Xenopus tropicalis: one gene and its partners. The protein of the gene in region 2 interacts with the protein of the main gene of each other region in a pairwise test. Links are inferred from orthologs where the notes say so. Each region holds a gene or a part of one and is shown on either strand. Other genes may lie near its edges. The genes, in order: epc1, rint1 and txlna.

Region 1 (3,654 bases), on a different chromosome or scaffold from region 2:
AGAGTCAGGCACCTGTAGCAAAAGCAACAAGTACAGGCTAGAACTTAAATGGGGCCCTGTACCACTTCATAGACCGTAAGATGGCCGCAGCTTTAAAATACAAGAAGGAAACTTTTCATTTATCATTAGTGCTGTTCCTGCCACAAGGCAAGCCGAGTTGGATCCAGATGAACATCTGGTGTTATTTTATTTTGACCATGCTTATTTGTAACTAATAAAAGCAAAACATTAACTTACTTAAGTCTGTTGGCCCTGGACAAAACTAGGCACCTAACCTTTACAGAGTTTTTGTACAGCACACAGCAAAAAGCATTTTACCTATAAAATCAGAAAAAAAATCATAACAAAAACAGCTCACACGTACCTCTTTTCCATTATTTCCAGTGTTAAATGAAGCAATTCCCGCTTGCTCTTTTCTCTCCTTTTTATCATTTCTAGTATAGTGACAGCCCGACTGAGATCCCGACGTAACTTCAGCATTTTTTCATATGAAGCTTCGTCATTCTTTCGATTCTAAGTAAGGAAGTTATACACATTATATCAAAGACAATAATAAACACCGCTAATTGGGTAAAGCAAATATTAATACTAAAATGAAAGTATCATTTTTGGCAAGTTATATTTTTCAGTAACATAAGTCAATTATGCAAAATGATTATAATTTACAGTGCGACAATAGGTCCTGTAAAGTCACAGTGAAAAATAAAACTTTTGCATAATTTCTAGCACCCAAATAAATTCTGTACTAAGCTGTATGACTACTCAAATTAAAACTCAAATTTTGTTAAAGGAGAAGGAAAGGTAAAAACTAAGTAAGCTTTATCAGAAAGGTCTATGTAAATACAGCCATAAGCACTTACAGTAAAGCTGCACTGAACCCCCTATCAAAAGAAACACAGGATTTTTTTGTCTCTCTTTTTGTAAATATGATATTCCAGTGTCTCTCAGAAACATCTTTGATTCCTGTGGCCAGAGTCTGCAGAGTTCTCTGAACTCCGTTCCCCCTCCCTTAGGTATGTGTGATCTCCGCTATAACAGCTGGAGCTGCAGGCAGGGAGCAACTGAAAATGGCAGCTGCTGTCTTAAAAGGAGACATATTGGATAAATGAGAAAAACCCTAATTTTGTAGGCAATTATGAATAATATACGGTGCTGGTTTCACTTTGGGCTAAACATTAATCCGGTCTGTAAAAATGGCCCCTTTATTGGAGCTCCCTATAGATCCTATCACTTCTCTGTCTGAGTGAGAAATGAAGAGTGGGCGTGTCCTAACAGTCCCTGCCAGAAGCACAGCAAGAGGGGGAGAGCCAATCACAGCCCTGCACTGACACAAGCAAAGACAGGCTTCAGTTCCCTATCAGGTCAGCCTAGGTGCTGATTGGTTCCTATCCTACAGTGCAGTGTACTGAGAGCTGCCAGCTCCCCAGCACATCCAGAGAATTCAGTCAGCAGGAAGTGTAACAGGTGGGCGGGGCTAGTGGGGCTTTGGTGGAATTTCTCAATAAATCAGTCTTTTTAAGCACAATCCTTCTATATCTAGGAGGAGTTTAATTCACTGGCACATTCATAATTTTTATAGGATATGTCGCCTTTAATCAAAGGGAGAAAGCTTCCAAAGCTCTTTACTCAGGTATGTTAATGGTTTCTGCAAAATAAATATAGTGTTCTAGGTGGCACTAATGTGGCAAATCTATTTGCAATAAAATGCTAAAATGACTTTCCTTCTCCTTTAAAGAATTTGAATCTGTTCATCCAGCTACAAGTAAACTATTTCTTGGCAGCAAATATCCTTTCTATAACCGTAAAGTACATTTAAAGTTCTGTAGGGAGCCATAAATTCCATCATTTGTGACCTTTATATTTCTGGTGTTGAGACTAAAACCACTGTATTTTACACAGCTTTCTGCTGATGTACAGATTTGCCCTACTGTCCAATAACATCCTGAATGTCTGCCCCATTGCTACACAGCAGCTTATTTACGTAAACTGTATCAGAGTCTGAATCAAATAAACAAAATAATTACACAAATATAAAAGCCACTGCGCATTCATATCAATAGGGAGCAAAAACAGGCTGTTATTATTATGTATGGAAAGTAGGTTTCAGGCTACGGATAACAGACAAGAGAGAACACCACTGAGGTAAAGTCGATAATGCAATATAGCTAAACCATATTTTGACAAGCATTGCTTAAGATTTAGAATAGTTAAGATAAGACATGACAAACCTTTCTTGTTTGCATTTTTTCTGTACGCCGTCTAAAGGCTACATAAGGATCACTGGTGCTGGAGCCATCTCGCTTCTCCTGTTTAACTGTTGGTATGACAGAGGAGGCACGGCTGTTTTTCCGTTTCTTAATCCAATAGTCATATACTTCAGTAATCAACTCATCATCTTCTTTTAACAAGAGTTTGGCCTCTTGGAGATTAACTGGCTGGAGAATAGATTTAGAACAGTCAGTAAGCGGTTACAATGCCAGGTTCAATGCAGGATTGCAAAAATGACAGCATTATTACCTGCTGCCCACTGCCCTTTTCTAATCGATCAACCATCTCTTCAAACTGGAGTGAAGAGATATCCATTTTCTTTTTCAGCTTATTCAGAAAGGCATCATCTTCAGCATCCAAGTCATAATCTGGCTGTTCAGCATCCAAACTAAAAGCTAAGAAACAGAAAAATGACTCGTTAAATGACAATTTCTTCACCTTTTTCTCAGACAATCCTGATTGTGTGTGATCTAATTCATGTATCAGACTTTGTATTATGTACCTCAATAGAAGTCAGTCAACGATACAAAAACACACACCACAACACTAGAAAGATTACGTCTAGATACTTTTTGGAACTTACGCTGTATGTGAATAAGCTGCTTTGGCATCTTAAATTCCCCTGGGTATACAGATTCATAATATGCAATGTTACTTTCTGCCTCTGGAACAGGAATAACCATGTTATCCCTTTTCTCTCCATACACCTGCAGTGCTGAAATGGCTCGCTGGAGATGATGTTCCTAATGGGAAAGAAAACAAGTGTGTTATAGGAACATATATGTCTTAGCAGAACTCTTAAGGTTAACATCCTTACACATTTTACATGTAATATGTTGCTATATAAAAGGGAATCCGATTTAAGCAAAGTGACACCAAAATTTTAGTCTGACTAGAAATCATCAATTTTTAATTGCCAAACTGTTTTATCATCTGTGTGCGTTTCAGGTTATATTTCAGACATGTTCAATACAACATATTGGTACCGCATATTGAAAACCGCACCGGGGTACCTGCAGAGAGTGTTTCCTCTTCCTTATTTCTTCTGTCTTAGGAATCCCTGGGCCGGCACATGCGCAATAGTGAAAAAGCAAGCGCACGTAGACAGAAGCAGGAAGAGGGGACACTCGCTACAGCTACCCCAGGCTGGTGCTATTTTCTCCTAACAGGGGCACCAGCCCAGGGTAAAAGGTAAGCTATTAAAGTAAGGATCTTGCCAGACTAATTTAGTCGCCTTTTATGAGGAGGTGAGTAGGAACCTTGATGCTGGAATGGCAGTTGATGTCATCTACTTGGACTTTGCTAAAGCGTTTGATACAGTACCTCACAGAAGGTTAATTATCAAATTAAGGAATATTGGCCTAGAACATAATATTTGCAATTGGA
Region 2 (3,754 bases):
TGGGGGAGATGTTCCCAACTGATTTACATTGTAGGCTTTACATATTCCTTAAAAATTTGTTGTACTTTTATATGTTTTAGCCCCAAGGCCTCCTGTGGTTTTGGGGGCCACAGCCTTAAACCATCCCTGATATAGTTCCAGCACATCACAGCCCTGCTTCAGTAGCACTCTCAATCTAATTTGCCTACCGCAGACTATAAAAACTAAAGGCAGTTTCCTCAGAGCTCCGCCTGTTGTTTTTTGTAAAAAGGCCTATTCAACTTTCCCCATATTTCCTTAATTACAAATTTAAATGCAATATAATTGCAACTGAAAACAGTACTTAGGCTATTGATTAGGAAGTCAAAAACGGACCAGTACTTTTTTTTCATGTTTATGTTTTCTGCATTGCAAAAGCCAGCTGCTTGAATAAGCATGGAAAGTATTGAGGTAATGGCTGGGTAAGAGCTAGGTAAGAGCTGGGTAAGAGCTGGGTAAGAGCTAGGTAAGAGCTGGGTAAGAGCTAGGTAAGAGCTGGGTAAGAGCTAGGTAAGAGCTGGCTCTTGGTACGTTGTTGCAAAAGTCAGACCAGAAAAGGACAAACAGTGCATCAAATTACAAACACATTTACAACTCTAAAACTACTCATGTACATTAGAACATTGCTTGGAATCGATTTTCTTTCATGAAGGACTTAAAAAAAAAAAAAAGCATTCCCCTTTAACTTATAGCCATTCATTCAGCAGGGTGTCATTATTATTCACGTTAGAATTGCGAAAGATTTAAAACGTGGCTGCTGCAGAGAGAATTGCTCTCTAACTGTGCGGCTGCAATTCATAACGCTGCTAGTTAGCCAGGAACTTCATAGTTTGTTTAGTGCCACTGTGGCTATATTTCCGCTACCAGTTGAGTCCATTTTTGTTTAACGCCGAATTTGTTAATAAAGTTGTGGTTTTACAGAGAGAACTGGGGCAGGAAGTTATACGTCTGCAGCTTAGGTGAGAGGGCGCAGAACTGGGAAGTGACGTATGCAGTGCGGGAGAGATGCCAAAGTCACCGGAAGTGATGTGTTTGTACCGCTGCTGAGCGTTCAGCTTGAGGAAGTGATGTGTGTTTAGTGCTGGTGACAGTGTGTAGGCTGTCACAGGGACTGCTGCAAGATGCGTTACGAAAGACCTACAAATTATCCCCGGGACTGCAATTTGCGAAAGTGACTTTGAGTCGTGGGCTCTGGGCCCGAAACTAACTCCCAGACGAACTGTTTGCTTGATCTACAGAAGAGGTAACTCCTTTGAAAATTAAAATCATCACCTTGGTTGAATTTCTTTTTTTTATAATAAGTAATTTCTCCCCAGGGGCGGCTTGTGTATACAAGTTAGGGTCGTGTGCATTTGCATCTATTATTGTGCTAATCATTTTTGCATTGATCTGGAAACTGACACAAAAACGTTGTTTTCACTGAAATGCATTGCATCTTAATGATTTTGCAGGGAAAAACACCATGCTTTAAAGTAATGTATAAGATTTTATTATTTTTTAATGAATGAATAAATAAATGCATTTTGAGTTCGTATAGAAGCCCTAAAGTACAAGTGGTAAACAATATTGATGGAGTAGATCTGCTTTCTTCTGCCTGCTTTTTTTAACCAGGCAGAGGAACGTGGATCCGCTGTCATGTGCTCCTTCATATAGCAATATTGACAGGTAAGATGTCAACTTGTAAACTACAGATTCCTCTTAAATGAAAGGAAAACAAAAACCCAAGATATATATTTTTAAAAATATTAAATATATGTATTTTATAATAATTATTAAAAAATGTCTTTAGGGGTACCAAATAAGCACAGTAATTGGCTATTTGGCAGTCCATGTGGACTGCTAGCCTGCAGGAGGCTCTGCTTGGAGTAAAACTGACCTCCAAGCCAGAAATGTAAAAATGGGCACCAACCTTGAGGCCCCTGGGAGCAAGGGGGCGGTGAGCAACATCTTGCTAACAAGCCACTGACTGGGGATCACTGGCTTAGAACTTTATGTCCATAATGCAGCCTATGTTGGCCTCTGTACAACTGTGTGTCATGCAACAAACCTATTACCTTTTTAATATGCAGTATAGATTGATTGTAGAGGTTCGGATTCATAGGAATATCTGGAAACCCCATTCCTAAGTAATCAGATGCCTATTAAAACCATTTACGCAGGGATGATGAGTAATAAACACAGATGTGCAGTGCATGGCTGCATAAAAAACAGTGCAGTGTTCTGCATGCATCACATGATTAGTCATCAATTGTGCAGAATGGTGATGTTATAGGTGATTCATTCTAAATATGAGGTGGAAGCCCTTTGCTGCATGTAAATGTTCACCAGTTTGATTAAAGTAGCTATTCATATTATTGGATTATTGTCAGATATCAACACACTTTCTGCTGAGTTTGTTATTCTGCAACAGCTCTGAAGTTTAGAGACAGCTTATTTTGATAACCATTTAGCTTGCTTCAGCGCTATTAGCTCTGCCTTTGTATTTATAGAGGAAGTACTCCCCTTTTTTACATTTGATATACACAAACACACATACATATACAGGTATAGAACCCGTTATCCAGAATGCTCGGGACCAAGGGTATTCCGGATAAGGGGTCTTTCCGTAATTTGGATCTCCATACCTTAAGTCTACTAAAAAACCAAAAAAATATTAATTATCCTAATAGGATTGTTTTGCATCCAATTAGGATTATTTATATCTTAGTTGGGATCAATTACAAGTTACTGTTTTATTATGTCAGAGAAAAAGAAAATCAGCTTTAAAATTCTGAATTATTTGATTAAAATGGAGTCTATGGGAGATGAACTTTCCGTAATTCAGAGCTTTCTGGATAATGGGTTTCCGGATAAGGGATCCCATTCCTGTATATATATCTGCATACAGGTATTGGATCTGTTATCCAGAATCCAAATGCCCTTGGTGCAGGTCAAAAACAAAAATATAATAGAAAGAATGCCGCACACATAGGGACTTGATACAAAAGAAAAAGTGTTTTTATTTAAAAAAATTGAATTTATTTATTTTTTTCTTTTAATAAATATGCTTTTTCTTGTTCCCCAGGTCAATTATGGCTTCTTTGGAGACTGGAAGAGAGTCCGGCACTTCCAATCAAAGTGACCACAAGAACCCGAGTGACATCTGTGGACTGGTGGATTTGGACACATGTGAGATTCCATTGTATGTGTGTGAATTTGTAGAAAAGGAGATAGGAAATGATTTCAAGTCTCTGAAAAACGTTTCAAACCTCATAGAAACCATTAAAGAAGAGAAGAAACATTTGGAGGAGCAAGTAAGTACAGCAGGTTATATTTTTAAGTCCTGTTAAGGATGATGATGTGATCTCTTACCTCAAGAACAGCCCTAAAGATTAAAGGGCATTGGCTGCAGTTAGAAGTAAAAAGTTGATGAGAGGGCATGTGGTGTGATTTGGGGTGTCATCCCATCAAGTAGTGACAAAACCTTCCTACTAGTAATTAGCAGGTCTCTTCTAACATGCACCTGACCATCAAAAGCTGCTTTCCAACCTGCACCCAAAGTATTGATCTTTCAGAGGATTAGAACATGGAATCAGCCCTTTATGTCAATCTTGTCTTTTAAAAATTATTCCTTTTCCAACCATAGTTTTCCTTGCAGTATTAAGCTGCACAAATGCAAAAAACAGGGCACTCTTAAATAAACCTTTTTTTTATCATTTATTAATGCCACACATAGAAATACCCAACACATTTCGGC
Region 3 (3,754 bases), on a different chromosome or scaffold from region 2:
AAAAACCCTACTCCACTTTTTGTTTTTTCCCCCCACACATTTGCCTTTTATATTATGCTACTCTATCTCAACCCAACATCCACTGTATACCATTCTTCCTTTAATCATTGCAGCCCAATTCTTTTCTTCTGCATAGACCCCCACCTTTACCGTCTGATGTCCCATAACATCCAAAAATTTATTTAGAGCTTTGCCTTCAGTTAATACTAAGGTACCTTAAAAGTAGTATAAATAATGCTGTAATAATTGTAAATGTGATACCATGAAAGTATACTGTGATATGGGAAAGGAGTGCGCCAGCAGTAGTCATGAGGCCCATACTACTAAGCAGGACCCTCCCCTCCAATTATTTGCCCACTGGTCACACAGGGACCCTGCGTGGTAGGCCCCTGCCACCTACCAGCATATTTATTTTATTTTGTGCCCAAATAAAAGAAATATGCCCCTTAGCATATTAGCAGAATTTTTAATTGATTATATTTTTAAAGTTTTTTTCATTTCCATGAGATAAAACTATTACATTTTCATTATAGTTGGGCTTGGCGTGGTTTTGCTTGTGCCTGCAATTGTGTCAGGCGCAACGTCCCTATGTGAGAACAACAATGCTGGAATTCTGAGGGAAAAAAGCTGCATTTTGGAAAAACAGTGAGTTCCACAGTAAAATCGCAGTTAGCAAGGCCGCATTGAAAACAAAATGGGCCACACGTTTTTGAGTGGGTGACCCCCACTAGCAGCCCCATCTTGCTAATGTCTTTGTTGCTAGGGCCACTAGGATTTTATGAAATACTGGGGGTCAATATGTTATTAGTTATGGAAACAATGTTTGAGGTATCATTATTCTTGTGACTGACAAACTAACAATGTTAATAAAAAGAAACGGTATCAAGGGCATATTATTTCAATTTAGAAATGTTAAAAAACTTTCAATAAGCCTTTGCTTTATTTTTATAAATATAACCTGTTTAAAACGAGAAAACTATATGAACAGGGTCAAATCAAGGGTCACAGTTTAATGAATCTTAGTTATATATAACAAACGAGCGCACAAAAAGGTGGTACTCATGCGTACGACTGCGCACAAACAAGGCTTATAGGGAATTGTAGTTTTTACTTTCGCGCCTTTGCTACCGCCCTATACAGTTTCTGTTTCCTTATAATCAACAGCAGCGCCGATAAATCTTGCTTCCGAACGCAGAGGTTTCCGTTAGACCCGCCTCTGAGAGCGCATTGGCCTTTAGGCTTGTTGGAGCTGCGTGTCATTGGCTAAGAAGTGTCCGGCTTGCGGCCTGGATTTGTGCCTGTGCCTGTGGCTTCCGGCAGAGAGTGAGCGTTACCGGAGCGGATGCAAGAGTGAGGTAAATCCGGTTATTAATCGTGTCCTCCGGGAAAAGGAGTCAGCGCAACCTCACTGGCAGGGACAACAACTTTGTGTGAAACAAGTGTACAGTTCAGCGCTTACACAAGGAACAGACCAGAACTACATCATTTGTCATACTGCTGCATCGCTTGAGGTGCAGCTTCCGTGTGTAGAGCGACAAGGACAACATACAAGTTTGCTGACAACAGGTAGCATGTAGTGGCCCTGCATAAATAAAACAATTAAGAAGTATAAAATGTGGGGGGATGCAAATCTTCAGTTTAGGTGTGGAGTGCCCATTATGCAGACTAGTAGTTGCCCCAAAACCTACATTAGTAAGGGTTGTCATGGCATGGGCCGGACCTGGAGTTACTCTGCACATTGAGCTATGCATATCCAATGTGCCAGCTTATGAGTTATCTATTTCTAGGTGGTTAACTACTTGATAAGTTAGTGGTTAATGCTAACAAGGTTCATTGATTGAATTGTTTTATACCTACAAACATACAGGGTTAACTAGATTCTTAAGAAAAAAACGTGAAGTTTCTTGTTTACATGCCATACTTTGCTTCTGTTACCTTTTGTTAGAAGTGAGTCATGAAGGACCAAGAACTGGAGAATGGCACAGCCAAAGGGCCTTCCCCTACCTCATCAAGCCCCTCACTTCCTCCAGCCACAGATGAGAACGTGACTACACCTGGAGTTTGTCACCCTGCTACTGAAGGTTAGTAGTAGCATTTTTTTTATAGTGGGTGTCGGATTTTTTCAGTTCTGCCTTCCAGCATTGAAGATTCAACCTTTGGTCAAGACCTTCTTTAGTTCATTAAAGTTATCAGTCATTTAGACTATTCTCTCAAGCTCCACCCTGTAGCCTGATTTTTAAATAAGTGGTATATGTGTTTACAAAATAATAAAGTAAAAGAAAAGGAAAAGGGGAAACTAAAATGGAGGGAGGTAAAAGGGGAAACGAAAAGGTGCAATAGAAGGGAGAGAAAAGTACTTCACTAACAAATGCTGTTTATATACATGAGGGATACCATTCAACTAAGCATAACTCTTACTAGCCCTTTCCCAGGATAGCCACACCCAAAGAACAGTCACAGCTAGGTTGATGTTGTATGATGACCCATAGAATTCTCCAAGTTAGTAGTGTCCTTTAGATGATTAGTTTCCCAAATAATGGTATTAAAGGAACAGTAACGCCAAAAAATGAAAGGGTATAAAAGTAACTAAAATATAATGTGCTGCTGCCCTGCACTGGTAAAAGTTGTGTGTTTACTTCAGAAAGTCTACTATAATTTATATAAATAAGCTGCTGTGTAGCCATGGAGGCAGCCATTCAAAGGAGAAAAGGCACAGGCACATAGCAGTTAACAGATAAAACACTATTGTATTCTACAGAACTTATCTGTTATCTGCTATGAAACCTCTGCCTTTTCGCCTTTTTTCCAGCTTGAATGGCTGCCCCCGTGGCTACACAGCAGCTTATTATATAAATTATAGTAGTGTTACTGTAGCAAACACACCAGTTTTACCAGTGCAGGGCAACAGTGCATTATATTTTTATTACTTTAAAGCTCTTTCATTTTTTGGTGTTACTGTTCCTTTAAAGGTGTCATGTAGGTTACAGTGTTGTACAGACTGTGATTCTCATTCTTGAACTTTATTCCCATGGTCTAAAAACCTGTTCTACCACCTTGAGGGTATGAGCAAATTGCTATTCATTGCCTTTTCGCCCTGCTGGGCATCCTTTTGTTGTTGTTCCTTTGTTTACAGTTGTTGCCTTCACTTCATACTGGTCTGTGGGTCTCCTCCTTGTCCATCACAGGTGTATCTAATTCACACAACAGCGTTAGGAGATAGACTTAAAAAGTAACTGCATTTTATGATGTGATAGCCCTTGGTCAGCTGTTGCACTGTTCCATCTGTGTTTATATTATACACTACCCTGAGATCAGAGTCACTGTTAACGCCTTAGGGTTGTGACACACTGGAAGATTAGTCATGCGCGACTTATCTCCCCGCAATGCCATGCCACCGGCTAGAATGTAAATCGCCGGTGGGATGGCACTGCGGGGAGATTAGTCGCACCACAATAATGGAGATTTGTTACGGAGCAACTAATCTCCCCTTATGTCACAAACCTTACATGATTCATAAGTTCAGGAACAACTCTGATATGGAATATTACAAAGGCCCATATATTTCCATGTCAGACAGTCAGGTACTTGGCGCGGTCCCAGTGGTCAATCAGCCTGAGCTGATATGGGTCTAAAAGGGCAAGATAGTCAGATCTGACCCACCACACAGTGGGTTCAATAAGCAATTCTGAATTTGTGGCCTGATCTCTTTAGTGTGTACATATTTATGGCCAGGTTAGCGACTTTAACTTTAATA

The links.
Region 1: the proteins of rint1 (region 2) and epc1 interact in binary tests that used the Homo sapiens proteins (3 or more experiments, as listed by UniProt). The two-hybrid records come from large-scale screens. The link is inferred for Xenopus tropicalis from reciprocal best matches to the Homo sapiens genes RINT1 and EPC1.
Region 3: the proteins of rint1 (region 2) and txlna interact in binary tests that used the Homo sapiens proteins (3 or more experiments, as listed by UniProt). The two-hybrid records come from large-scale screens. The link is inferred for Xenopus tropicalis from reciprocal best matches to the Homo sapiens genes RINT1 and TXLNA.

The regions. Positions count from the first base shown.
Region 1 is NC_030682.2:22,939,713-22,943,366, reverse strand, and holds part of epc1 (enhancer of polycomb homolog 1), read right to left. Parts: intron 3,012-3,654; coding exon 2,852-3,011; intron 2,664-2,851; coding exon 2,518-2,663; intron 2,436-2,517; coding exon 2,229-2,435; intron 514-2,228; coding exon 365-513; intron 1-364. UniProt on the Homo sapiens protein: Component of the NuA4 histone acetyltransferase (HAT) complex, a multiprotein complex involved in transcriptional activation of select genes principally by acetylation of nucleosomal histones H4 and H2A.
Region 2 is NC_030679.2:77,093,366-77,097,119, reverse strand, and holds the start of rint1 (RAD50-interacting protein 1), read left to right. Parts: upstream 1-967; 5' UTR 968-1,261; intron 1,262-3,082; 5' UTR 3,083-3,089; coding exon 3,090-3,311; intron 3,312-3,754. UniProt on the Homo sapiens protein: Involved in regulation of membrane traffic between the Golgi and the endoplasmic reticulum (ER); the function is proposed to depend on its association in the NRZ complex which is believed to play a role in SNARE assembly at the ER.
Region 3 is NC_030678.2:86,591,381-86,595,134, forward strand, and holds the start of txlna (alpha-taxilin), read left to right. Parts: upstream 1-1,328; 5' UTR 1,329-1,566; intron 1,567-1,945; 5' UTR 1,946-1,954; coding exon 1,955-2,081; intron 2,082-3,754. UniProt on the Homo sapiens protein: May be involved in intracellular vesicle traffic and potentially in calcium-dependent exocytosis in neuroendocrine cells.